7 linked regions of the Sus scrofa genome follow. The protein of the gene in region 5 interacts with the protein of the main gene of each other region in a pairwise test. Links are inferred from orthologs where the notes say so. Each region holds a gene or a part of one and is shown on either strand. Other genes may lie near its edges.

Region 1 (4,193 bases), about 50 Mb from region 5:
CCACCACAGCACTTCGTATTTTTAAAACGAGAAATGTAAGAAATAAATCAGAAAAATCGAATCGTCACGAAAACATAAGCCTGGGTGACATTGGTACCAGAAATGTCTTCGATCTACCAGACAGAGCTCGCCCTCTCCTTCTACCCGGAGTAGCAGTCTTCTAGTCAGACAAAAAAAAAAAAAAAAAAAAAAAAAGTTGGAAAGTTGAAACCTTACAGAGCTGGCTTTGCTGGACAGTGTCGGGGAAGTGTTCCTCTCCGTCTCTCGGGGTCAGCGGATATCCTCAAGCCGTGGAGCTGTCAAATCCGTGCTCTGCCCCAAAAGGCTGGATACAGTTGAACGCTCTGCAGCCACTCGGTGTTTTTTGTCCGTGCAGCCACGGTGTTCTCGGGAGCGTTCCCACCCCGCCCCTCCTCCGGCACCAGTCCCCGCCCTCCGCAGCTCCTCCCGCCCGGCCGGGCGCTGGCTGGAAAGGCTCGCCGAACCCTGGCTCGCTGGACGCCGCGGCTAGAGACCCTGGCGCTCCCCAGGGGCTGCAGTCTCGTGCAGCCTCTGTCTCGGTGGTGGCGTTGGAGGAACGCGTCTCTGGCTCTGCGGATTCAGAATCCACGGGCTGACGCTGCTTCTCTTCCAATCCCGGTATCCTCGCCCACTGCCGGCCAACCCAAACCGGCACAGGGCAGCCCAGCAATCCCCGATCGCGGGGCTGGGCCGCGAAGCTGGCGGAGCGGCAGGGCCCCAGGCGCAGAACCCGCCCCTTCGCCCAGCCCCATCGATGGGGCTCGGCCCAGAGGGCGGGAGCGGGGAGGGGAGACGGGGTCCTCACCCCCAGCCCCTCCCCTTTCTCCGCCCGGCACAAGCCAGGAGCCGCCCCTGCCCCTGCCCCTGCGCCCTCTTCCCCGCCCAAGCAGACGCGACCCGCTGAGGCAAAGCCATCGGAAAAAGCCCCGCCCTCCAACAAGCTACCTCCGGACCCCGAGCCCGCGAGCGGCCGCCAACCGCTGACGGCTGCTACGCATGCGTAACGGTGGGCCGGGCGCATGCGCCTTAAGAGGCACCGAATCTGCTCGGGGGGCGTTTTTTTTTTTTGTTTTTTGGTTTTTTTGGTTTTTTTTTGCCTTGACGTTCGGCTTCTTTGGGCTGAACGGGGGTAACGAAAAGTTGAAATACGCCGAAATTATCACACACGAGACAAGAACCGCAAATAAGGAGGGCACAGATAAACTCCTGGAAGAACTCGAATCAAAATTTAAAATCAGAGGAAAAAATAGAAACTCTTTATTGCGCCAAACACCAGATTTAAGAAGGCAGGGCGTCCTCGCATTGACTTCTGGGAAGTGTAGTTCTGGTGCTGTAGGCGCGTTCTGTTTGAGACAGAAACTACAGCTCCCGGGAGCCACTGCGACGTTGCCTGTGGCTCCCTGCGAGCCAACGGCTAGCGCTGCCGGAGATTTGACTGAGAGATTTGGCTTGGTGAGCACTGTGGGCTTGGCTGACACTTTTCCTTTGACAGTATTTTTCCTTCCTCCATTTCCTGTGGGATTTTAGAAAGGAAGCCGTCTCCTTAGAGCTGTACTCCTTAGTCCAGGGACTATCAGTAATCTACGTGGGAAGAACTAGTCCGAGTGCCCAAGACCGCGGGCGCGTTGAGAGGACATGGATGGTCGGAAAGAGCTGCATAAGGTCAGGCAAGAGGGATGCTGTGGAAACTAGTGCTCCGCGGTGCTACCTCTGCTTCTGCTCTGTCAGGTGGGCTCACGCGGGATGGACTCAGTATCCCTGTGTAAGTGCACCTTTGTTTGCCATTGCATAGGATTGTTTGAGGCTTTATTTGCGCAGAAGAAATCCTGTGCCACACTTTGAAAGAGAGTTGTCAAATCCTTTTTGTACAAAACTGAAGGGAAAAGAATCCCTCGTGTTCCTAGATATGAATATTTGCAGGCTTTAAGAATACCATATGGAAAAAAGACTTATAAAAATCTCTAAAATTTAGTAATTTTAAAAGATTAAATAATTTGTTTGCATATTGCTGTTTGAAGTCATTCTTCTTGAGAAAAGTTGAGGTTTGAAGGGCTATCACTGGACTGATAACAAATTAGTTTTAATTTTTCATGTTGCACAATACATGCGTTTCTAAAACTTAGTTTCTAAAAACCAAGTACTGGACAAGTGGAAAACGCACAGTTCCCATCTAGTTAAACTAATGGTTAAACATTATACAATACATATATAAAGTACAGTACACACATTAAACATACAGTACTATATGATATTATTAGGATGGCTAGAAAGATCACTTAGGCCGGTCTTGGAAAGTCAGGGAAATCTTCATCTCAGGGAAAGAGGGTCAAAAGAACAGCATATGGTGAGGCCAAGAGTGAGGGAGATAGTAATTTCAGGAAACTGCAATAAGCCAAAATCATATACATTTCAGGAGGAATAGCTTTTTGTGTTTTGATGTACAATACAGCAAAGAGAAAAGAGTAAAGAGCAGAAAAGAGAAACGTACTATGAATTTTCCAGATAGTTTCTGAAAGTGACCTATCCTTGAACAGAGTTCTGATGAATTGGTTTAATTTGGAAAGCCTAGAACATTCTAATGTTGCTTGTTTAAATCAGAATTTTAAAAAATGAGAACTTCCTTCTTATGAGTATGATTTCAGAAAACAAAGCCACTCCTTCTTGTGTCTTTTGGGGTGGGGGGAGGCTCATCTTCCTTTGTCCAACCCACAAAGGATAGGGTAGTTTCTTAAGTGTGGGTCTCCTTTTTACTTTGTGATTGAGTATGATCTCATTCATAGCCATGGTTTCACCACCACCTATGACTTAAATGTATAATTTCATCCAACTTCACCTTTTAGCTTTGTTTCACCACCACCTATGACTTAAATGTATAATTTCATCCAGCTTCACCTTTTAGCTTTCTTATGCCCATCTCTATGGTGTTTCTTCTTGGATATCTCAAAAGCACCTCAGACTTAACATGCCTAAAACCAAATGAACAGTATCTTTTATGAATCTGATTATTTCCCAGTGTTCCCTATTTCACTTAGGGCACTGCCATGCACTTGTGAAAATTTGAAACCTATGCATTATCCTTGATTTCCTAATGTCCTTCATACCTCTGTAGCCAAATTATTTTTAAGTACTCTCAATTTTGTCTCCCAAATATCCCTCAAATCCATCCTTTGCCTCCATCTACATAAGCACAGTCTTTTCTAAACTGCCATAAACTCTTGCCAGGAATGGTGAAATAGTGATTATTCACTCTGGCCTTTCTCCATTAGTTCTCCACACAGCAGCCAGAATCATCTTTTCAAAATGCAAATCCATTCAGATTCACATTTTCACTTAAAACCATTCAGTGTGTGTCCTACTTTTAAAGGCAAAATTTCTTTACAAATGTCATCTTATGTCATCTGGTCCCTTCCACCTCTCCAGCCTCACTTAGTACACCACTGTCCACCTATCTGTGGAGACCTTTCTTCAGTTACTGGCTCTTATATTCCTTTTTATCCATTTGTTCACTGAACAAATATCTTATCAAATACCTACTGTATAAGGGGACATTGAGGATATACTATTGAGCACAATGTATGAAAGTTTTTACTCTCATAGGTCTTCCATTGTGCTAAGGAGAGATAGACAATAAATATGTGGCATATATAGTAAGTGAAGACAAATGCTGCAGAGAAAAATAAGAACCAGCGGGGAAAGGGAATGTGGAGTGGCAAGTTTTAGGGGCAAGATTCTCTTTTAAATAAGGTCAGAGAAGGCCTAATCAAGAAGGGAACATATGAGGGATCTGAAGGAGGGGAAAGAGTAAATGTGCAGGTGCCTGGAGGAGAAACATGTCTGTGAAGAGAACAGCCAGTGCAAAAGCCTCTGGGTGCCCACATTTAACAAATAGCAGTGTGGCAGGAGATGAGAATAACATGAGATCACAGAGGAAGGAGGTCCTGTAGGTGATTGAAGGAACAATTTTTTTTTTCTTTTTTTCTTTTGCTTTTTAGGGCCGAACTTGGGGCATATGGAAGTTCTCAGGCTAAGGGATAAATGGGAGCTGCAGCTGCTGACCTGCGCCACAGCCCCAGCTACAGGGGATCTAGGCCTCATCTGCAACCCACGCCACAGCTCGCAGCAACACCAGATCCTTAACCCACTGAGTAAGGCCAGGGATGGAACCCACCTCC
Region 2 (3,500 bases), on a different chromosome or scaffold from region 5:
ATATCACAGGGAATGCCTCCCCTGGTCCCCACTGAGGTTATCAGATTGTCGAACCTTAAATGATTTCCTGGATCTTCATCCTAGGATTCCTGAGTCCAAGAGGCACAGGGTCAAAGAGAATGAATGATGGGGACACAGGGTGCTGTGTGGCTAAAGGGCTAGGTTTTTTAGGACTAGAGGTCTGTGAGCGACCACTGTTACACTGCACTGGCAAGATACTATTACACCACTGCAGAACACAAGTGCACCTGTTGGAGTAAAGTACCCACAGGATTACTAAGTTTACTCATCAAATGAGAGCTACTTGGTAAGAGAAAAGATAAGCTGAATTTATACATGTAGGAGTTCCCATCGTGGCTCAGGGGTTAACGAATCCTACCAGGAACCATAAGGTTGCAGGTTCAATCCCTGGCCTTGCTCAGTGGGTTAAGGATCTGGCTTCACTGCGAGTTGTGGTGTAGGTTGCAGACGTGGCTCGGATCTGGCGTTGCTGTGGCTCTGGCACAGGCCGGCCGCTAACAGCTTCAATTACATCCCTAGCCTGGGCACCTCCCTATGCCGCAGGTGCAGCCCTAGAAAAGACCAAAAAAAAAAAAATTATACATGTAATAAAAAATTAGCTTTCTATTCCATATACCTGTTGGGTCATCATTTATACAACTCATGGGCAGTTATCAATTAAAAATAAAAATAAATCTTTTACCTGGCACTGTCTTTGGTACATTTTCAGTTCTTGTAAGAGCTTCTGATTTTCATCTTGTAGCTTATTCCTGCTTAATGCTATTTCACTCACAGCTGATTTTAATTTTTCAATAATGAACTCATCTCTTTCAGTGGTTTCACAACTGTGATCTGGTTCACATAGCAACTGAGGAATTTCAGAGCTGCTGTCTTCCATGCCCTGTTTTTTACCATTTAGTTGAGTTTGGTAACTTTGTGCCTGTTTCTGAGAAATATGAAAATTGTGTCAGTTGAGTGGGGAATACAACACTTAAGCTTACATAAAGTTCAAGAATGATAGAGAAGAATTAGGAAAAAACATTTATATTATTAATGAAACTGTTCTTCATAATTCAGTCTTGTGTTTATTCTAAAACTTCAATTTCAGAGGGCATAAAGAGAATATATATTTGCATAAACTCAGAGCAAATATGTAGAGTAGGGTAGAGGACTTTGGGTAGGGAATTCTTATTTAGCGAAAAAGAAAATAGAGAAGATATTTAAAAAGGGGGGAAAATATGGATTCTATTACACAATAGTTGAAAATGTCTCTATGGCCAAAAAAATAAATAAATAAAATAACAAACAAGAAAACACGATGGACTGTAGGAAAAAGTTGTCAACACCTGTAACAAGGGTAACTTCTGGTACACAAAAACTTCTAAGAAAAAGACAACGCAAGAGAAAAGTGGACAATATTTATGCACAGGCAATTCACAGAAGAGAAAATGAAAAAGTCTAGAAACACATGAAGAGATGCTCAACATCACAAGCAGTCAGAGAAACACAAAGCGAATCAAGCCAACATTACTCTTGGTCCATCAGGTTGGTAAAAATCAAAGGACTGATCTTCTGGTGAGAGTCTGGGTAGTTTTGCTGGCTGTTGAGAAACTAAATTACTAACTTCTTTTAGGAAGTCATCTGCCAATATTTATTAAAAATCTGATTGGCCCACTTTCCATTGCCCGAATTTGCACTTGCTCTCTTGCCTCAGCAGCTTTGCTAACGTTATTTCCACCACCTGGAATACGTTCTCTCTTAGAACATATCCTTCCTTCAAGATCCTGGCCTAGTCCCACCCCTGCTGGAGGATGTTTCCTAAATCCAAATTTTTCTCACTCCTTCCACCTCTAAAAGGATTTGGATCCTTTCCTTTCACTTGTCATTAATTATCTGTAAACCTGTACATGTGTTATGTCTGTGTCTAGACTAAGCTTCTAGGGGGCAGGGACCAAGCAAATTTAAGACTTTCTAAGAGACTTGATCATAGGCATGCAAAAACATGTTATTTAATGACATAATAACAATGGACCTTTTTTTTTTTTTTGGTCTTTTTAGGGCTGACCCGCAGTACATGGAGGTTCCTAGGTGAGGGGTCGAGTCAGAGCTATAGCTGCCAGCCTACACCACAGCCACACCAGATCCTTCACCCACTGAGTAAGGTCAGGGATCAAACCCGTGTCCTCACGGATACTACTCAGGTTTGTTACCACTGAGCCATGATGGGAACTCCACAATGAACACTTTTGAATTGAAGTATCATTGATTTACAATGTTGTGTTAATTTCTGCTGTATAGCAAAGTGATTTCTTTTTAAATATTCTTTTCCATTATGGTTTATCATAGTACACTGAACACAGTTCTGAGCTGTACAGTAGGACCTGTTTATCCCCTCCATTTATAATAGCTTCTATCTGCTACCTCAATATCCTACTCCATTCCTTCCCCAACCCCTCCCGTGGCAACCACAAGTCTGTTCTCTTTGTCCGTGAGTCCGGTTCTGTTTCATGGATAGGTTCATCTGTGTCACATTTTAGATTCCTCATGTAAGTGATATCATGTAGTATTTGTCTTTCTCCGTCTGACTTCCTTTACTTAGTATGATAATCACTAGCTGCATCACATGTTGCTGTGAATGGCATTATTTAATTCTTTTTATGGCTGAGTGGTATTCCAACAATGGACATTTTTAATAAAACCATCTTCTGAGACATACAGACTAAAGTCACCATTACAGACATTTCACACCCTTGTAAACTCTACCCAGTGTTGGAACTACTCATTATTTTCCCTTAGTTGGCATTTCTATCTGCAGAATGGTAAAGAGGAATAATAGTATTTAACCTCTAATTTATTCTAATTTAGAGGATAGTATTAGATAATGTACCTGAAATTGATTACACTTCTCAGATAACAATTTTTGTTGAGCATCTACAGAAACCAGATGAGTCTGATATAATATCTCCTGCTTGTCCCATTCTCTTGACTTTGCTCTAAATTCCTTTTAAAAAAGTGGAAAGATAAATTGAAAAAATTATTCATTCCAAAGTACAGTGAACGAGGCTTCTTTCATTTGTACATCTTTCTTCTGAAGAAAAAAAAAATCCACCTTTCCCCATTAGGAGAACAAAAAGTATCAAATCACTCACTCTGGATTTACTAATTTATCTTCTAATTTTTGCTAGGAAAGTATGGGATTTAATTCATATTTTTAAAAAATAAGCACTTGTTAAAGATGCAAAAATTTTTAACAAACGCTGTTTACTAAGAAGGGAGTTGCATCAATCAACACTTCCTTTCTATTTCCTCAGCTGATATCCAAAGTTTTTCCCATCTTTTATTCTCTACACTCAGTCACCAAACCTGCTCTCTTGCTTTTGAGGGGGTGGGGCTTGGACTAATTTAGTGACTTTGTCCCCTGTGGCTTTCAAAGCTACTGTCCCAGGTGAAGCCAGATCAACCCATCAACAGAACAACCACCTCAGGGCTCCTTTAAGCAG
Region 3 (3,500 bases), on a different chromosome or scaffold from region 5:
GTTCATCCATCATTCATCACTGATAGATGATTTTGATCATTGAGGTTTACAGTGTGGTACCCACCATATTGGTTTGACCATGCCCACCACAGATGGCATAGGAAGGACCCATCACAGTCAATAGGATGGAAGACAATGGAGCCCACCAGTGCTGACATAGGATCCTCTTCTGTTTCCTGTAGCCGCGAGGGCAACAGTGTGGATAAGCCCACACTGCAGGAGGTGGCTACCCAGCTCCAAGGCTATGTTCAGCGTCTCCAGGAACGCCGTGCTCTTGTGAAGATTCCTCCAGAACCTGGCCCTACCTCGGCACCCACGTCCACTGTGCCCCATGCTGAAGCCATGGTGCAGGCCATTCTGGGGACACAGCCTGGCCCGTCGCTGCCCCGGCTAGAGAAGACGCAGATCCAGCAGGAACTGGCAGCCACACGGGTACACAAGGGCTGTGGTCACTGTATCAGTCTTTCCTGGTGGAACCAAACTCTTTGCTGAGTCAGAGAGAAATGTGATTGGGGGACCCAGTAGAAAGGGAGCGTTTTGCTGGACTGGGGACTAGCTTCCTGGAGGGAGGAGATTTGGAGCTGGGGTTTTGAGGGATGAATAGGAATTTGTCCTCCGGCTTTCAGTTTCTCATAAGATTCCAAATCTAGCTTCCCAAAATGCCCCTCCTATGGAAAAGAAAGAGGAAGGGGCCATAATCTGAGGTTTGTAGCCTGGCATGAAAGAGCTGAGGTTTTGAATTTGGAGAAACTCCGGACACTTCCACTGAGCTGCTACTTGACCTTGTTTAGGATACTTGCTCTCTATGAACTGGCATTTCTACAAGCTGTTTTTTGTTTGTGCGTTTGCTTTTTAAGGCTGCACCCATGGCATATGGAAGTTCCCAGGCTGGGGGTAGGATGGGAACTGCAGCTGCCAGCTTATGCCACAGCCACAGCAATGGCAGATCTGAGCCTCATCTGCCACCCACGCCACAGCTCATAGCAACGCCAGATCCCTAACCTACTGATCGAGGCCAGGGATCAAACTGCATCCTCATGGATACTAGTCAGATTCATTTCTGCTTCGCCACAAAGGGAACTCCCTACAAGCTGTTGTGTTTTTTTGTTTGTTCGTTTGTTTTTGTCTTTTTGTCTTTTTAGAGCTGAACCCGTGGCATATGGAGATTCCCAGGCCAGGGGTCCAATCGGAGCTGTAGCCACCAGCTTACACCAGAGCCATAGCAATGTGGGATACGAGTTGCATCTGTGACCTACACCACAGCTCATGGCAACACCGGATCCTTAACCCACTGAGCAGGGGCGTGGATGGAACCTGCAACCTCATGGTTCCTAGTCGGATTCATTAACCACTGAGCCACAACGGGAACTTCACAAGCTGTTGTTTTTAATGGGAAGATGATATTTCCCATCATGCAAGATCATGAAGGGAGAGTTCCCTTCATGGCTCAGCGGTAACGAACCTGACTAATATCCATGAGGATGCGGGTTCGATCCTTGGCCTGGCTCAGTGGGTTAGGGATCCCGCATTGCTGTGAGCTGCAGTGTAGTTCACAGACGTGGCTCAGATCCCCAGTTGCTGTGGCTGTGATCTAAGCCAGCAGCTGCAGCTCTAATTGGACCCCTAGCCTGGGAGCTTCCGTATGCCACAGGTACGGGCCTTAAAAAAAGAAAAGAAGGAGTTCCCGTCGTGGCGCAGTGGTTAACAAATCCGACTAGGAACCATGAGGCTGTGGGGTTCGGTCCCTACCCTTGCTCAGTGGGTTAACGATCTGGCGTTGCCATGAGCTGTGGTGTAGGTTGCAGACGCAGCTTGGATCCCGCGTTGCTGTGGCTCTGGCGTAGGCTGGCAGCTACAGCTCCGATTCGACCCCTGGCCTGGGAACCTCCATATGCCGCGGGAGCAGCCCAGAGAGATAACAAAAAGACCAAAAAAAAAAAAAAAAAGAAAAGAAAAAAGACAAGATCACAGGGACGGTTTGTGTTCCTGCCTGACCAGCCCTCAGTGGGTGCCCCCTGGAGTTCAGTTTCCCCAGCAGTTGACCCTAGAGGTGAAAATTCTCTCCCCTTTCCCTGGTCTGCCAGGAGACCCTGGCTGACCTGACGCTGAGGCTACAGCTGGTGCGACGGGAGAAGCGGGCTCTGGAGCTGCGAGAGGCTGCCCTCCGAGCACAGGTCCCAGCCCATGTACTCCTGCTGGAGCAGCTGCGCTGGGAGCGGGCACAGCTCCAGACGGGTGAGGCCAACAGCAGCGGTGAAGACAGCAGTGGAGGCGCGACCAGCGGAGAGGAGGAGTGGTCCCAGGTGAGTTGGCCGTGCCTGGACCTGGTAGGAATAGCTGTATACTAGTGACTGTGTGGTTCCGGTTAATCATTGCCCCCTTTGGGGAGTTCCCTGGTTACTCAGCAGGTTAAGGAGCCAGTGTTATCCCCTCTGTGGCTCAGGTCACTGCTGTGGTGTGGGTTCAATCCCTGGCCTGGGAACTTCCGAATGCTGTGGGTGCAGACAAAAAAAAAAAAAAAAGAATCATAGCCCCCTTTGAGTCTCAGTTTCCATTTCTTTTCTTTTTTTGCTTTTTAGGGCTGCACAGGCAGCATATGGAAGTTCCCAGGCTAGAGGTAGAATTGGAGCTGCAGCTGCCGGCCTAGGCCACAGCCACAGCACAGGATCTGAGCTGCATCTGTGACCTACACCAGAGCTCATGGAAACCCTGGATTCTTAACCCACTGAGCAAGACCAGGGATCCAACCCGTGTCCTCATGGATACTAGTTGGTTTCATTATCGCTGAGCCATGACGGGAACCTCTCAGTTTCCATTTCTTCACACACAAAAAGAGCTAATGGTTAAGCTACATTTCAAAATTCCCACTTCTACTTTGGGGTTTCTTTCTTTGAGGGTATTTATTGAGCCCAATAAGCCCCAAGGGATTTAGTGTCTTCCACTCAAACCTGTGCCTCCTCCTTCCCACCCCCAGTCTTATTCATACTTCCCCTTCTCCATTCCAACGGTCCCAGCCTATGCTTCATTTCTTCCGAAGTTTTGGCTCCAGCTTCCTCTCTGAGGCTTTCCTTTTTGCCCCTTACTGTCTAATCATGCCTGTTCTCTGCTTAAAGCCTTAGTGGCTTCCGGAACCTTCCTTTGAATCACCTCTCCTACCTCCAAGCCTTTAGAAATGCTGTGACCCTGCTGGGAACACCAGTCACTTCCCTCCTTATCTAATTAAATTCTCAACCTCCTACAGGCCTGAACTCAGACATCACCTCCTCCAGGAAGTTCTCCTGGATTGCCTAAAAAGGAGATCCCCTGTAATTTTTTTCCCTTGTTAGGGAGTACCTGTACCCTTATGGAGGTACCTAACCAGAGTGGGGGCTCTGAAGGCGAGGGCTGTGGCCACGTGGCCACAACATTCTGGGTGATTTCAGTGTCCAGCTTGGGCTGAGCCCACACTCAGGCTATGCTAATGTCGCTACCCTCCCTTCTACCTCCCACAGAGCCTGCCT
Region 4 (3,500 bases), on a different chromosome or scaffold from region 5:
GCTGTGGTGCAGACTGCAGACAAGGCTCAGATCTGGCATTGCTGTGGCTGTGGTGTAGGTCCAAGACTCGGCTTGGATCTGGCGTTGCTGTGGCTGTGGCACAGGCAGGCAGCTGCAGCTATGATTCACCCCCTAGCCTGGGACCCTCCATGTGCCTCATGTGCGGCCCTTAAAAAAAAAAAAAAATTTCCAAGGGAGTCGGGAGTCAGAATGGCAGAAGTTAATGAAGCAATGCTTTAAATTCCAAAGAAATATTATTTTTCAACCTAGATTTCTGTACTCAGCCGAAAGGTCAATAGTGTGAGAAGAGAAAAGGAACTCTTTTTTGGGGGGAACATTTTAAAACGTGAAGCTTCAATAAATATACCTCCTGTGCAGGTATAGTCTGTGCCGACTTTCTCAGGAAGCTGCTGAAAGAAAAGCACCACACATACACATGAGGAAGTAAATCAATAAAGAAGATGTGGGATCCAGGAAAGAGGGGATCCAACTCAGGAGAGAGGCAAAGGGAATCCCCAAGGTGATCGTGAAGGGAGACCCCTGGCAGACAGCCGTGCAGTGGGGACAGGTTAGAGCAGATCAGGAGGCTTCTAGAGCACTGCCTTGAGGAAGACGGAATAGATAGAACATATGTTTAAAAGCCCTGAGGAGTTCCTGTCGTGGTGCAGTGGTTAACGAATCCAACTAGGAACCATGAGGTTGCGGGTTCGGTCCCTGCCCTTGCTCAGTGGGTTAAGGATCCGGCGTTGCCATGAGCTGCGGTGTAGGTCGAAGATGCGGCTTGGATCCCGAGTTGCTGTGGCTGTGGTGTAGGCCGGCGGCTACAGCTCCGATTGGACCCCTAGCCTGGGAACCTCCATATGCCGCGGGAGTGGCCCAAGAAATGGCAAAAAGACCCCCCCCAAAAAAAGAAAAAAAGCCCTGAGAGGGAAACGCAGACAACTGGGAGAGAGTTTAGGGATGGCTTACTGATAACGATATCCCAGACTAAGCCAAGCAGTAGTCGTGTAATAATAACAACGATAATAATTGTTATTTACAAAGGAAAACATAAAGTGTGAGAGGAAAAGTAGCCACAGTAAAACCACACGGCTTAGTTGTGAATAGCATTTCCAATTCTTAAAATGGAAAGGCTGAATAAGTAATTTTATTGCACATTTTGGGGATGCGGGGAGATGGGAAGGGTATCGGGATGGCAGAGAAATAAGGAGTAAGATGAAAGGGTTAAATCCTTAACCTTCCATTGTGTGCAAGGTCAATAGAAAATACCTAAAACTCGGGGTTCCCATTGTGGCTCAGTGGAAACGAATCTGACCAGCATCCATGAGGTCGCAGGTTCTATCCCTGGCCTCCCTCAGCGGGTTAAGGATCTGGCGTTGCCGTTAAGGATCTGGCGTTGCCGTGAGCTTTGGTATAGGTCGCAGATGCGGCTTGGTTCTGGTGTTGCTGTGGCTGTGGTGTACGCCAGCAGCTACGGCTCTGATTTGACCCCTAGCCTGGGAATCTCCGTGTGCTGTGGATGCAGCCCTAAAAAGAGAAAAAAAAAAAAAAAAAAAACCCTAAAACTTAAAAATCAGTAAGTAAAAAAAAAATTAGTTAAGTAGCATATTATTTGAAAATTAGAAAGTAAGTAACAAACAGCTAAGAAATTAATAGTAGATGTCTCTGGGAAGTGGGATTTAGGACTAGGATGGGGGAGCTGATACTTTTCATAATGAATCTTGCAGGACTGTTTGCTTCTTTTTTTGGCCACGCCTCGGACCAGGGATTGAAGCTGCACCATGCAGCGATCCAAGCTGCTGCAATGACAACGTCAGAGCCTTAACCCATTGTGCCACAAGAGAACTCCTCTCTTACTTTTGTTAGAAGTAAAACTAAATAAAATGAAATTTAGAAAGTCTTGCGTGGCAGGACCTGGAGTTCCCATAGAAACATGCTAGCAGTTAGGTTAGAGGGATGCGCAAGAACTGGACCGTGACAGGCTTTTGAATCCCTGCCGCCAAAGTGTTTAGATTTTATTCTCTGAGAGCCACGCAAGGCTCCTACAGGTTCTTGAGCAAGGGGCAGACAGGTTCAGACTTGTGCTGGGGGAATAGAACTCAGTGCATCTGAGCTGGAAGGGACCCTAGAGATTACCTAGTAAGTCAGTCCACACAGGGAGGCCGGGGCAGAGTAGAGGAAAAAGCTCTTTGAAGCTCTAGCCAAGCCTTCCATCCTGTGGCAGATGCTACCAGCATCCTGAAGGGACCGGGGATGCAGATTAACGCCCTCTTTATCCTCCAGCTCCCGCCTCCTTTAGGCCCAGCGTGCTTTCCAATTAACACCTGACCCCTCTCAGGCTACTCTTTGGATGACCGATTCTAAGTCTTTCTGGTGAATCTGGACTGGCTCAATAGTTAATACCCTATCTACGAAGTTCAAATCTTAGTAGGATTGGATTTTAATGCTTTAATACTGAGACCTTACTTTGTGCCAGCACAGTGCTCATTACTCAGTAGACGGCACTTCGAAATTCTCACGGCCACCCTGTGCCATTTATCCCTGTTTCACAAACAGGGAGACCCAGGCTCAAAGAAGCTAAGAAAGTTGCTCACAGTCGTATGGTGGCTGTTAGTTGTCGAACTGAGATTTTAATGAGCAGTCCATCTGCTTCTAAAGCCCACACTCCAATCCATTCTATTTCCATGCTTCTTAAAAGTGAAGCATAGGGAGTTCCCACTATGGCTCAGCGGAAACCAACCTGACCAGTATCCATGAGGAGGCGGGTTTGATCCCCAGCCTCCCTCAGTGGGTTCAGGATCTGGTGTTGCCATGATGTGTGGTGTAGGTTGCAGATGCAGCTTGGATCCCATGTTGCTGTGGCTGTGGTTCAGGCTGGCAGCTGTAGCTCCCATTCGACCCCTAGCCTGGGAACCTCGGTATGTCCCAGGTGCGGGCTTAAAAAGCCAAAAAAAAAAAAAAAAAAAGTGGAGCATACTTGGTTGGATGACAAGGCGGGGGCCTCCAGAAACACTGCAGAAAACCCATGGCGCTGAACCTGGGACTGACTGCTTCTCCCACTCCCCTAGGCTTACCTGCGAGCCATTGACGTGAAGATCCTGCAGCAGCTGGTGACCTTGAACGAGGGCATCGAGGCGGTGCGCTGGCTGTTGGAGGAGCGGGGGACATTGACCAGCCACTGCAGCAGCCTCACCAGCAGCCAATATAGCCTGACGGGCGGGAGCCCAGGCCGCTCAAGGCGAGGCAGCTGGGACAGCCTGCCAGACGCCAGCTCCACTGACCGGCTGGACAGTGTCTCCATCGGCAGTTTCCTGGACACGGTGGCCCCCAGCGAGCTGGATGAACAGGGCCCCCCCGGGGCTCCCCGTCCCGAGATGGACTGGGCAAAGGTTATACCCACTGGGGAGAGGGCCAGGACTGAGCTGGACCTGACAGCTGCCAGGCTAGGGAGTTTGAGGGCTCTGTGGAAGCCCCCAGGGGAGGGGCTCCAAGGTGGACCT
Region 5 (3,500 bases):
ACACATCACTGTCTGTGCTGTTTAGCATAATAACTAGCATCATATCTAACAGTTACCAAATTTAGGAAAATACTTTGGGACCTTTTGGAGTTAGCATTGCTGAACCTTCACCTTTTGCATTCACTATTGTGTAATGCAAAATGCAGGGGACTCTGCCAATTAATGGCTTTTATATAAAATCATAAGTGATGCCAGTGCATTTATTCCTCTCTTTTTTATAATCTTAAAATCCAGAGAACATGTGTTTATGTCAACATTACTTTTTTTATTTTACATTTTTCAGTACCAATAAAAAGTCAAGCTTGATATGTGCACTTTATTTTTCCTTAGCATCTGGACAAAATATTTAAACACAGAGAACTGCAGCAGAAGCTGGTGGATGCAAAACTTGAGCAGGCACAGGAAATGATGAAGGAAGCAGAGGAACGGCACAAACGCGAGAAGGAATATGTACTTATCACCTGCGTCTATGTGCATGTCTGGTCTGCCTCAGGGTCAGAGAACCGCTGAGGATATGGTTTTTGACAAAGGTCATAGAGCACTAGGCTGATGGAGAAAGAGCCTGAGCTTCCCTGGAGAATGAAACTGGCCAGCCCGGTAGGAGGCCCTGTACCCACACTGTTTGTTTCCTTTTTAGGGCCACACTCAGGGGCATGTGGAAGTTCCCTGACTAGGGGTTGAATCTGAGCTATAGCTGCTGACCTACACCACAGCCACACCAATGCAGGATCTGAGCCACATCTGTGACCTATACCACAGCTTACAGCAACACCAGATCTTTAACCCACTGAGCGAGGCCAAGGATCGAACCCGCATCCTCATGGATACTAGTCGGGTTTGTAACCCACTGAGCCATAACAGGAACTCCCCCATGCTGTTTTTTGCATAAAATATTTATGCATACATTCAACAAACCTTTTTCCAGCACCTGTTATAAGCAAAGCACCATTCCTGGTCCTGGGGTGTAGCAGTGAACAATATAGAAGGCCACATCCCAGCATGGAGACTAGAGTCTAACTGGGAAGAGATGCACAATAAACAAGCAAAGGAATAAGGAAGGATAATTTCAAATAATAAGTGCTACTACAAAAATAAAGAGAAATCGAGGGGACTTACTTTAGACTGCTGTGCCCTGCCTGATGAGAAGAAGTCAGAGAGAAGGTCTCCAGAAGCAGTATCTGTAGCAGAGACAAAGGTCCTGATGCTGAAACCAGCTTGGCATCCTACAGAATATATTCCTACAGAGTATCAGTACCATTGATATTTAATATATGAGACCTGACAGAGGAACAGCTAGGCAAAGATTCATGTGAAAGAGACTGGGGGGCAAACACAGAGTGACTCAACCTTACCAAATTGCTAGCATGCTACTCTCTTTTCCTACCCTGATTTAGCAAAACAGCAGATATGAATCAAAGAAAGACAGTCACCCTTAGTTCTTCAAAGGTGGTCACTTACCTGGGTTCCAACTCTGACACTTCTTTTTGAAAGTGATGAAATATCAAATCAGGGCTGAGGGTATTGGGTGGTTCCTTCATCCCAAGCAGAACAAGCAGCCTCCTTCCTCCCTCTTTGTCAGGGACCACCCATCACAACAGGGCCCCTGAGTGTAAAGCAGGGGCTGGCCATGTACTTTGCTGCCACACAGCTCAGATGGCCAGAGGGGGCTCTGCAGATCTTCTAATCCACAGCTGCTTCAGCCCTCTCATACAATGAGTTAGCTGCACTTCAATAATAACTGATCTTCACTGCTCGCTAGGAGGCATAGAGGAACATGTATAACCCCCTGTTATAAATGGAAAGGTCAAGACTAACTTGGATAAGAAAAAAGAAGCCTTCAAGTTTTTTTAAATAATGATTTCATTGTTTTTCATTCTGGTTCCCAAAACTGACCTTTTTTTTTTTTTTTTTTTTTTTGTTAAACCATAGGGATAAATAAAAAGGAAAAAAATTATATCAGCCTGTCTTGAAATAAAATAGAAACTTAACTGATGACCATCTGACTAACCAGGCTATCCATGATGTTCACCATTCTGTGTAACCACGCTGACAGTTCCATAGCAGGTTAACTCCTGTAGCTAGTTAACCACTCTGGAAAAGTCACACATGGTTGTCCAACTTAAGTAAGATGGTGCTTACCAAGAATGGAGTCTTTGCTCCCAAACCTTTTCTTTCCAGTCATCCTTGGTTTTGCATCATGTAAATCAAGAGAATGATACATAAACTGATAAAATACAATGTGAAAAGAAAGAGTTATCTCTATGAAAACCATGCTTGATGCTTTGAAAGACTAGATGTAGGCAAACAGCAAAAGAACAACTGTCAAGTTAGATGTGAGAAGCTATACAAGACCTAAAGAAAATTATAAAACAAGACCTAAAGAAAACTGTAAAACTCTAGAGAATTATCCAATCAAGCTGCTTTCCAAATATCTTAGGTCTTTAGGGTCCAGCACTACTGTTTAAAAAAAAAATTATAAATCTGGGAGTTCCCATCGTGGCTCAGTGGTTAATGAATCCGACTAGGAACCATGAGGTTGCAGGTCCGATCCCTGGCCTTGCTCAGTGGGTTAAGGATCCAGTGTTGCCGTGAGCTGTGGTGTAGGTTGCAGACGAAGCTCAGATCCCGCGTTGCTGTGGCTCTGGCATAGGCCGGTGGCTATAGCTCTGATTAGACCCCTAGCCTGGGAACCTCCATATGCCGCAGGAGCGGCCCTAGAAATGGCAAAAAGACAATAAAAAATAAAAAATAAAAAAATTATAAATCTTATATATGACATTTTATAGATATAATTTTTATAAAAACAAAAACTGGCAAAAACCCTCTAAATTCCAATCAGAAGATCCATATCCAAAACATCTAAAGATTAACCCAACATCAAAATTTATAAATAAATGAACATACATCTTAAGTTAAAATAACATGTTTTAAATGTGTGTGTCACTTTTACACATAAATAACATTTTCAGTTTAACCCATCAGTTCCAGTTCTAATCATGTTTGATATGAGGACCTTCGCTATATCTGAAGGGTTGCCTTCTATAGAAGAGGGATGAGACTTCTTTTGCAAACTTTATACAGGACTTAGAATAACAGGTCAAATTTCTAACCAGCTGTTTCTCACAACATAATCCATGGACCACCAACATCTAAACCAGCTTGGGTATTTGCTTTAGGTATAGATTCTAATCACATTATATATTTCCTACATCCTTTATACTCATTCTGTATACTCATTACATTATCTGAGAAGAATCTGCATTTTAACATGCCCCCAAAGAGATTCTGATGCATGCTATGGTGGAGAACAAGGCTCTAATATGAAAGAATTACTGGGTTTAATATAAAGGAATAGTTGCTCACAGCCATGGCCCAGGTGGGGATATTCTAGAAATGTTCAAGCAGAGGCTGAATGATGCTTGGGCAGGATTGCTAAGGTTCCAGAATTTGGTGGGAGGTTGAATTTTAGGTGATTCATGCTTGAGTTAGAGACTTTTTTT
Region 6 (4,141 bases), on a different chromosome or scaffold from region 5:
GAACTAGAGGCCAGGAAAATACCTTAACATTGCAAAGACTCTTGGATTTAGGTTAACACGGGGAAGAGTAGCTTGAATGGGAAGAAGGTTGCTCAATTTGGGATTAGATATTGTGAAATCTGTTTCTGGATGTCTCTAGGCATAGGCTGGATTATAAACTCTATATCTTGCTGTGAACAAGGGAGCGGACGAGATTACTTAAGATCCTGTCAAGCCTGCTGATCCTTGGAAATGAAAGCCTAATTAAGAGGCTCCCTAGGGACAGGTCAAAGGCATTCTTTTATCTCTACTGCCCCTAATCCAAGTTCCTTGATGGTTTATTCCTCCCCTTTCATTCAGCCTACTCTAAAACTGAAGAATACACATTGTGCAAGTTTCCAACTCTGCTTCTCCTACTGTAAACGCATTAGACAATTAGAATTAAGAATTTTAAATCTTTCATCCCTCATATCTAAACATGATGTTTATTTTTCAAGTGGTTTTGAATAGAGTTTAACATTAAGCATTCGTCTAAACTTTTTTTTTTTTTTCAATTGGACAACAAAATTTTCAATGCTTGACCCCGGAATACTACAGAGCCCTTCAGATATCTTTTAATACAGTTATCTGGATAAATAATAACTTGTTGAATTTTAATTCGGATTTATCTTTATTTTCAAAGATGGTGTTCACGCAATTACTTATTTGGGTTAAATTCCTGTTGGAATCATGTTGACATTGTTTTCTTTGAAACAGTTTTAGATGAGTGTGTATACCATATCACTCAGAGAACAGCAACTATGCAAGTTTTAAAACTTGACAGAATTATTTTGCAGATTTAAAGTAGTATTCCCTTGATAGTAAATGAGGCATAAAAGAGGGGTATTTTGGGGGGGAGGTGGTTATATCCTCCTCTTTCTCTCATGAAAAAAAAGTGATGTTAAATTGTGTATAGACGAAAATGTTCTACCCAATTATGACAATTCTGTGTGTTTTCAGTGTTTAGAAATATGTGTGGATCCACTGCGTCCCTGACCAGCGATCTTTCTAAAGTGCCGTGGTAAAATCTCAACTTTAATTTGGTACTAAAACTCTAACATTTAACTACAAGTTTTCTCTTAGCAACACTCATAATCAACATCTAAGCGTCAAGCTAAGCTTCAAGAAGCTAACTCTCATTAGATAACGACTCCAAATCACCATCTCAAATATTGCAGCAAGCCAAGCCCAGGTTGGCAATCTCTTGCTCACGGTCCTTGAAGGAATGCTGTAGTTGCACCTTATTGGTGCACATGCTTGTCAGTCATGTAGGGAAGGTGGGGTCTTACAGTCTCGCTCTAAATGAGACGCAGTGTGTTTACATCATCGGGGAGCGACGAAGGCAGGAGAGGGAGGGGTGTGTTGTGAGCACACCTTGGTGCTGGTGGGGGTGGCCTACGAAAGTGTCATGGCTGCCGCCGCTGAGCTTAGTCGCGCGACCCTCGGTGACAGGAGCATGGAGCGGAGCTGCAGCCCCAACCTCTCCCAAGAGGTGGTCTGCGAAGTCTTTCGCTCCTTGCATACCCTTGCTGGACAAGTGAGTGGTGGGCTTTGGGAGTAGGGATCTGGGAACCGTCCGGCCCCTCCCCCTCTCCTTTCTCCGGCGGAGGCGGGGGCGGCGGAGGCCTGCGGGGTGTGGGACCCGGCCCAGAATAGCCGAGGCTGGGGGAGGAGCTCGGGCCCGGCCGCCTGTGGTCTAAGTGAGGCTGGCCGCGCGTGGGTTAGTTCAAGACCGGTTGCAGGCTAGATTTCTTTGCAACTCTTCTCCCCAAGAGCGAATGAGGATAGTGTAAGTGAAACCCCGCTAGGAGAGAAACAAGCTCGAAGAGAATGCGTGCGGAAAAGCTGTGAGGGTTTGGGAGGCGCCTAGCGCTGTGGATCCCTTTTCCTCCAATTCATTCATTATAGAAATTGATAGGTTAGTCTACGGCCTGAGATTTCTGGAAAAGCTCCCTCTCCGCCTTTTTTGGGTGATTTACCGTTAGGAGTCAGTTGGGTTTGTTTATTTCTTCTTTCTTTCTGGCTGTTGCTTGCATCTCTTCCCCTTTCAAAACGGGAAGGAAGAGAAAAGGAATTAATTCAACCACTTCTAGTGTTAAGTTGGATAAGTTATCCCTGGTTTATACTGTTTGCATCACAACTGTTGACAAGTTATTAAATATTAACTAGCTTAACTGGCTGATAAATAGCTTTTGTAGAAATATCATTATAGAATCGAACAAATAAAAGTGCTCTTTACTCTGTTCCAGTGAAGTCACTATTTCGTTTCATGATGTAAGATGTAAAGGAAATTTAAAATGCGAACTTGAAAATACCGTTTGTCTGCTTTTAAAAGGAAATCTTTTTTTAAATCTTAGATAGGATTAGGTATTTGTGTGGAAGATAATGGTAACATCCTTTATGAAAATAGAGCGTTTGATTTGTGAAAATTACTTTTAAAAGCCTTCGGTGGATGGATAATCAGTTTTTTAAAAGGTTATTTCAGTATTTTTAAAAATTCTAATATATTCTGACTTAAAAAGAGTATTACTCAAAATTAAATACACAATTTGGTGTAAGCGAATAATTATCAATAGAATCGGCTAAAAGAGTTGTTTTTCAAGGACTTAAATATTTTTTTGAGACAGGGACATTAATATTTCAGTGTCAAGACTTAAAACCTCTAAATGGTTTAAAAGTTTGAGAACTTTCTATGATGTGACTTTGGAACTTTAAGGTTTTTTTTTTTTTATATCCTAATGTCAAGATGAAAGGTTAATGCTCACCTGTAGTTTACAGACTTCCCCCCACTGATGAGATTTTTTTAAATAACATTAAGAAATAATTTAAACATTTTTGAAACAGTTGGCATACTGAATTTTTAAAACTTATTTTAACATTTTAAACATTCAACTATTCTGTAGGAAAAGTATGATTACAAATTATTTATGTCACCTCAAAAATGTTTAAATATTTGGTGAGTTTTATTGACAGTGAAGGAACCATTTATACAAGTGTTGGGGAAAAAAAATCATCTCATCAATTAACTGCTAGCCATTTTGATAATACTCTATATTTTGAGATGTATAAAGATAAGGATGAAAGCCAGAGTACTATACTTATAAAATTGCCCCTAGTGGGAATCATTATTTTTTTTTTGAAACTGGTTTAAGGAATTTCTTTAACTGTATGTTGTAAAATGCCTAGTTCATTCTATATAGTATCATTGTATTATTAGCTCTCCTCAATAGGAAACATAAAATTGAATGTTTAAACAGTATTTTCTATCCTAGATTTCCAGTTTACTAATTTTAACTTTATTACTTGCCTCTGGATTGTCCATTTTACAAGCTGAAGAGTTATTTATTATTAGCTTGGATTTTCATATTTATAAAGTTTTTACTGAAATGCATATTTTAAATGGTCCATATTAATGGCTGACTTATACATTTTCGAGTGAATGTTTTAGAGTTACAAGTTCTATAGCCTAAAAATGCATAGAATTCATATTACTAATAGGGAATTTGTTGAATAATAATTGAATGTATTGGGATAGTTTTAAAGTTAATTTTTAATGTTGTTATATGGTTTTCTTAAAAGACCAAGTATCTTGAATTTCACTTGAAAGCTTACATAATTCTGCTGTATTGAAATGAGACTATGATCCAAACATAAATTAATTTCTATAAGTTACTATTTGGTAAATTTGTTGCTTTGTCTTGGTTGAGGATTTGCATTATCCCAAAATGTATATATAAATTTGTTATAACCAACTATAGATCTCTTTGGAACTGTGAAAGTATAGTTTACTTTCATACATAAGTTGTTGTCTAACAAAATCTTTATAGGCATTAAATTAATTAAGATTAATGTAGCAATCTTAATGTAAAACTTTAGTTAAATTAATATAAACTCATCTGCTAGTGCAGCCTACACAAAACTTAGTTCCTTATGCTTGTCTGATATGGACTTTAAATATTCCTGGTCAAAGGGTGGAAATTTCTTTCATATAGCATTCAATATAGTGCCTTTGTGGGAACTTCATATCTTTTCAGTTTTTTGTACAGTGATTCATTCATCTTTTTGCTATATTGTAATCACAATTCATAAGATCTATATTTGAACTAAAGTAATATATCTTTAT
Region 7 (3,933 bases), on a different chromosome or scaffold from region 5:
GCAGAAGTGATTTTGATAACTAGACAAAAGAACAGCTGGAATCTTATACAGACGAAAACAGTTTTCCTGGCTCCATGCAATTTTTATTAATAACATATCTAACAAAAACTATATGCTGATTCCCTACCTTATGTTATATATAAGACATAACGAACTAAATATTGTTTAACTGACTCAGCTGTGATTATCACATTTTCCTCTTTTCTCTTTTTTTTTGGGGGGGTGGGTTTATTTGATTTTCAAAAATTAATAAGATTTTTACAATAGCTTCACAAGCACAAGTTAACAATAATTCAACTGACAAAAATTGGTATTTACTAGTTAACTTCTTGGAAACATTTTTATTGTGTCAATCAAAATGCAACTGGAATGGAGATACATCACATATTGTACAAAAAGTAGGAGAATGGCTAGGACTGGGAAGTCTCTAGGTATTCTCACGGTATTTCATGAAGCAGGCCTTGATTTTTTTTGTTTGTTTGTTTTTTTTTCAGGGATTAAACCCATGCCGCAGCAGCGCCACAAGCCAGACAGTGACAGTACCAGATCCTTAAATTGCTGTGCCCCAAGGGAACTCCAGACCTTGACTTCTTTTTTTTTTTTTTTTGTCTTTGTTGTTGTTGTTGTTGCGATTTCTTGGGCCGCTCCCGCAGCATATGGAGGTTCCCAGGCTAGGGGTTGAATCGGAACTGTAGCCACCGGCCTACGCCAGAGCCACAGCAACGCGGGATCTGAGCCGCGTCTGCAACCTACACCACAGCTCACGGCAACGCCGGATCGTTAACCCACTGAGCAAGGGCAGGGACCGAACCCGCAACCTCATGGTTCCCAGTAGGATTCGTTAACCACTGCGCCACAACGGGAACTCCCAGACCTTGACTTCTTAATGAAATCATTTTAATTTCTGTTTAAATCATCCCTAAAAGCGTATTTAGCTTTAAGTGGTCACTGAACTTTTGGAAAGTAGAATTTGCAAGCATAGAGAAATACCATGATACCAATGGGGGGGTTTTCTTTAACATTAAAGTGTATATGTGTATCCTGTTCCCAATGACAACAATCTTGACTCTTACACCTTTCAGGCAGCAACAATTCCTCTACAAGAACAGTTTCAATTCAAGGATTTGACTGGGGAGGATACTCAGTCAAAGGGTGAACAGTAACTTCAGCACTCAGGTGGTTCATGACAACAAAACGGGGCCCTAGGTTTTGACGCAATCCTCAAGAAGTAAAGAAAACTGAGCAAAAACACCATCTTTTGGTTTCAAAACATTTCCTTGTCCCCTTTCTTCCTTCTTAAACCTAATTTCAACCCATTCTCTTTTTTAGCTTTTTATAAGACAGTCGTCCCTAGATCTGGTACCTAATCTGTAACTGAGCTACTTTATCCTTACTTCATAAGTCATATGCACAAAGTATTTTATTTATTATTTTTTTTTTTTGGCCTCACCTCTGGCATAAAAAAGTTCCAGAGCCAGGGATCAAACATGAGCCACAGCAGTGACAAGGCCTGGTCCTTAACCCACTGCACCACCAGGGAACTCCGTATTTTTACTTTTATTTCCATGATGATATTTGATGCCAAAGTTACATTTCTAGGCTACCTCCTCAATCATCTTTTGGATCAAGCAATGTAAAATAATGTACACCTAAAACGTAAATCTTTGAGGTAGGAGAAACATAACCAATTTCAAAATAAAAAATGTCTTTAACTGTGAAATACAATTATTATCTTCAATTACAGTAAGCCTTAGTGAACTGCTTCACAAAAGTCTCAGAAGTTTAATTCAGCAGAGATGGGCTGCAGGAAGACGGTAATAGAACCAAAGAGGATTTAAGGTATATTAACATAATAATTGGGTGAGAAGAGGTCACGGTATATGAATACACAGACTGTAAATCTTGTTTTAGTCATTTGCTACCTTCAAAAGTGCGAGGTGATATCTGGGCTACACATTAGACCAACACCACTGGACCTACCTCCTCACAAACTGTAGAAAAGCGGTTGAGGAACTGTACAGTGTGCACCACAAATTGGTTTAGAAATGCCACCGTTCTTTTCTGTTGAATAGCTGGCACCTGTGTTGCGTAAAAATAAACATGATCCGTACAGGAGGAAGGTACACCGTGCAATCCCCTCGATATTAATAAAGGGGCGTTTCTCTGTGTGATATGAGTTACTGGAAGTTCTGCCAATAGTCATTAACTTGTTTTCCTAACCTGTGGGGGTGGGGTGTTCAAAGATGACAGATGCTGCAAAGTTTGAGAAAGGGCTCTGGATTCACAAGAGCGAACTTCCGCAGGTATAGGCAACACGTAAACACACGAAAACCTTAAGGGCCGAATAAAAGAGGTAGGGTTAGAAATCGGAACTGGCCCGTGTCGCCAGTGGTTCACCCTTGAGGACAGGGACTCGTGACCTGGGAAGCGAAGCCTGGGAGAGGTACACTACACTGCCCCCGCCCTTCCTTACCTCAGGAGGGACCTCTTTAAAGGGCAAACTATGGGACTCTCCCTCCGGAGAGAGATGAGACAGGCCTAGGACAGCGTTGGGCTTAGAGAGATGTGGTCTCCCTGGGAACCCGGCGTCCCTTCCCCATCCTCCTCCCAGGTCACCTGAGTTCAACTCCATCTTTTACAAACCTTAGTCAGGTCTATGCCTGACCCCATGAGAGGAAGCCCATCCTCATCCATCTCCTCAGCGGGCACGGGACACAGGGTTCACCCACACACCCCTCCCCGACCAGGCCAGCCCAACCCGGTAATAGCTTACGAACACCTCCCCCCAGTCCCCGCCTCCCGGGTTCTTCCCGCCGGAAGGAAACGCCTCCTCTCGCCAATCACTCGGCGGCTTCCGGAGAGCCCACCCCTTCGCAAGGCATTCTGGGATTGGTAGTTTTAGTTCCGGATTGTGACGTCGGACGAAGAGCGCCGAGTCTAGAAAGGGTGAAATTCTCTTCTCGCAAGATTTTAAAAATGGGGCGGGGAAAAGTAAAGCATCCCGACTGTTTGAGGTTATCCCTCTGCTTAGTGTTGTCTCTCGTATAAGGCAGCTGAGGCATTCGTTAATAAAATATATATATAGTTTGTTTTTGTTGTTATTTTTAACATACTAAGTGCCAGATTGGCCCCTGGGCCCTAATTTAATCAGGTTGAGTATATGTATCTATAGAACTATAAAAATATTAACTTATCTAAAATTGGCCAATTAACAGAAATTCTCCAAAGTGGTTTGGTTTCTTAAAAAAAGAAAAGACAAGTATAATTCTGTGAGATATAATTCTAGTTAACGGAAGAGTGGGACTTTCTCATTGCCTCCTAGGATTCTTGATGATACTCTTCATCACTCTTCCATAGCTCCTGAAGGCAGTGCCACTCACAACATAATAACTGAATTTCCAGGGCTGTTAAAAACAATCTATAGCTAGAAGTCTTGGTCATCTTCCTGAAATCCTCTGAAATACCCGTGTCCTTTCTCCAGGCTTTCTCTCATTGGAAATGGATTACCAGATTTCAATTACTGTAGTGCATTTTGGAGACAAAAGAAGTAAATTGTAACGAATACTGATTTAAAAAGGCAGAGTCCATGAATCCCACCTGCATATAACATATCTGTTAAATTAAAAGGTCTTAAAGCATTTTTCAGTAGTTATGTTTTCAGGAGTTCCCATCGTGGTGCAGTGGAAACGAATCTGGAACTAGGAACCATGGGGTTGTGGGTTCGATCCTCGCTCAGTGGCTTAAGGATCCAGTGTTGCTGTGAGCTGTGGTGTAGGTCACAGATGTGCTTTGGGTCTGGTGTTGCTGTGGCTGTGGGTGTAGGCTGGCAGCTGTAGCTCTGATTAGACCCCTAGCCTGGGAACCTCCATATGCCGCAAGTGTGGCCCTAAAAAGCAAAAACAAAAATAATAGTTATATTTTCAGAGCCTGTAA

What was found.
Region 1: the proteins of TXLNB (region 5) and CEP57L1 interact in binary tests that used the Homo sapiens proteins (3 or more experiments, as listed by UniProt). The two-hybrid records come from large-scale screens. The link is inferred for Sus scrofa from reciprocal best matches to the Homo sapiens genes TXLNB and CEP57L1.
Region 2: the proteins of TXLNB (region 5) and DEUP1 interact in binary tests that used the Homo sapiens proteins (3 or more experiments, as listed by UniProt). The two-hybrid records come from large-scale screens. The link is inferred for Sus scrofa from reciprocal best matches to the Homo sapiens genes TXLNB and DEUP1.
Region 3: the proteins of TXLNB (region 5) and USHBP1 interact in binary tests that used the Homo sapiens proteins (3 or more experiments, as listed by UniProt). The two-hybrid records come from large-scale screens. The link is inferred for Sus scrofa from reciprocal best matches to the Homo sapiens genes TXLNB and USHBP1.
Region 4: the proteins of TXLNB (region 5) and LURAP1 interact in binary tests that used the Homo sapiens proteins (3 or more experiments, as listed by UniProt). The two-hybrid records come from large-scale screens. The link is inferred for Sus scrofa from reciprocal best matches to the Homo sapiens genes TXLNB and LURAP1.
Region 6: the proteins of TXLNB (region 5) and MBIP interact in binary tests that used the Homo sapiens proteins (3 or more experiments, as listed by UniProt). The two-hybrid records come from large-scale screens. The link is inferred for Sus scrofa from reciprocal best matches to the Homo sapiens genes TXLNB and MBIP.
Region 7: the proteins of TXLNB (region 5) and WASHC3 interact in binary tests that used the Homo sapiens proteins (3 or more experiments, as listed by UniProt). The two-hybrid records come from large-scale screens. The link is inferred for Sus scrofa from reciprocal best matches to the Homo sapiens genes TXLNB and WASHC3.

Annotation. Positions count from the first base shown.
Region 1 is NC_010443.5:75,169,600-75,173,792, forward strand, and holds the start of CEP57L1 (centrosomal protein CEP57L1), read left to right. Parts: upstream 1-1,393; 5' UTR 1,394-1,656; coding exon of another isoform or gene 1,657-1,660; coding exon 1,661-1,783; intron 1,784-4,193. UniProt on the Homo sapiens protein: Centrosomal protein which may be required for microtubule attachment to centrosomes.
Region 2 is NC_010451.4:25,831,394-25,834,893, reverse strand, and holds part of DEUP1 (deuterosome assembly protein 1), read right to left. Parts: intron 3,002-3,500; coding exon 2,888-3,001; intron 947-2,887; coding exon 704-946; intron 1-703. UniProt on the Homo sapiens protein: Key structural component of the deuterosome, a structure that promotes de novo centriole amplification in multiciliated cells.
Region 3 is NC_010444.4:60,418,129-60,421,628, forward strand, and holds part of USHBP1 (Usher syndrome type-1C protein-binding protein 1), read left to right. Parts: intron 1-182; coding exon 183-432; intron 433-2,084; coding exon 2,085-2,303; intron 2,304-3,491; coding exon 3,492-3,500.
Region 4 is NC_010448.4:165,194,692-165,198,191, reverse strand, and holds part of LURAP1 (leucine rich adaptor protein 1), read left to right. Parts: intron 1-3,068; coding exon 3,069-3,500. UniProt on the Homo sapiens protein: Acts as an activator of the canonical NF-kappa-B pathway and drive the production of pro-inflammatory cytokines. Promotes the antigen (Ag)-presenting and priming function of dendritic cells via the canonical NF-kappa-B pathway.
Region 5 is NC_010443.5:25,266,603-25,270,102, forward strand, and holds part of TXLNB (beta-taxilin), read left to right. Parts: intron 1-330; coding exon 331-450; intron 451-3,500. UniProt on the Homo sapiens protein: Promotes motor nerve regeneration. May be involved in intracellular vesicle traffic.
Region 6 is NC_010449.5:63,657,882-63,662,022, forward strand, and holds the start of MBIP (MAP3K12-binding inhibitory protein 1), read left to right. Parts: upstream 1-1,341; 5' UTR 1,342-1,426; coding exon 1,427-1,555; intron 1,556-4,141. UniProt on the Homo sapiens protein: Inhibits the MAP3K12 activity to induce the activation of the JNK/SAPK pathway. Component of the ATAC complex, a complex with histone acetyltransferase activity on histones H3 and H4.
Region 7 is NC_010447.5:82,154,140-82,158,072, reverse strand, and holds the start of WASHC3 (WASH complex subunit 3), read right to left. Parts: upstream 2,801-3,933; 5' UTR 2,695-2,800; coding exon 2,644-2,694; intron 2,333-2,643; exon of another isoform or gene 2,221-2,332; intron 2,080-2,220; coding exon 1,981-2,079; intron 1-1,980. UniProt on the Homo sapiens protein: Acts as a component of the WASH core complex that functions as a nucleation-promoting factor (NPF) at the surface of endosomes, where it recruits and activates the Arp2/3 complex to induce actin polymerization, playing a key role in the fission of tubules that serve as transport intermediates during endosome sorting.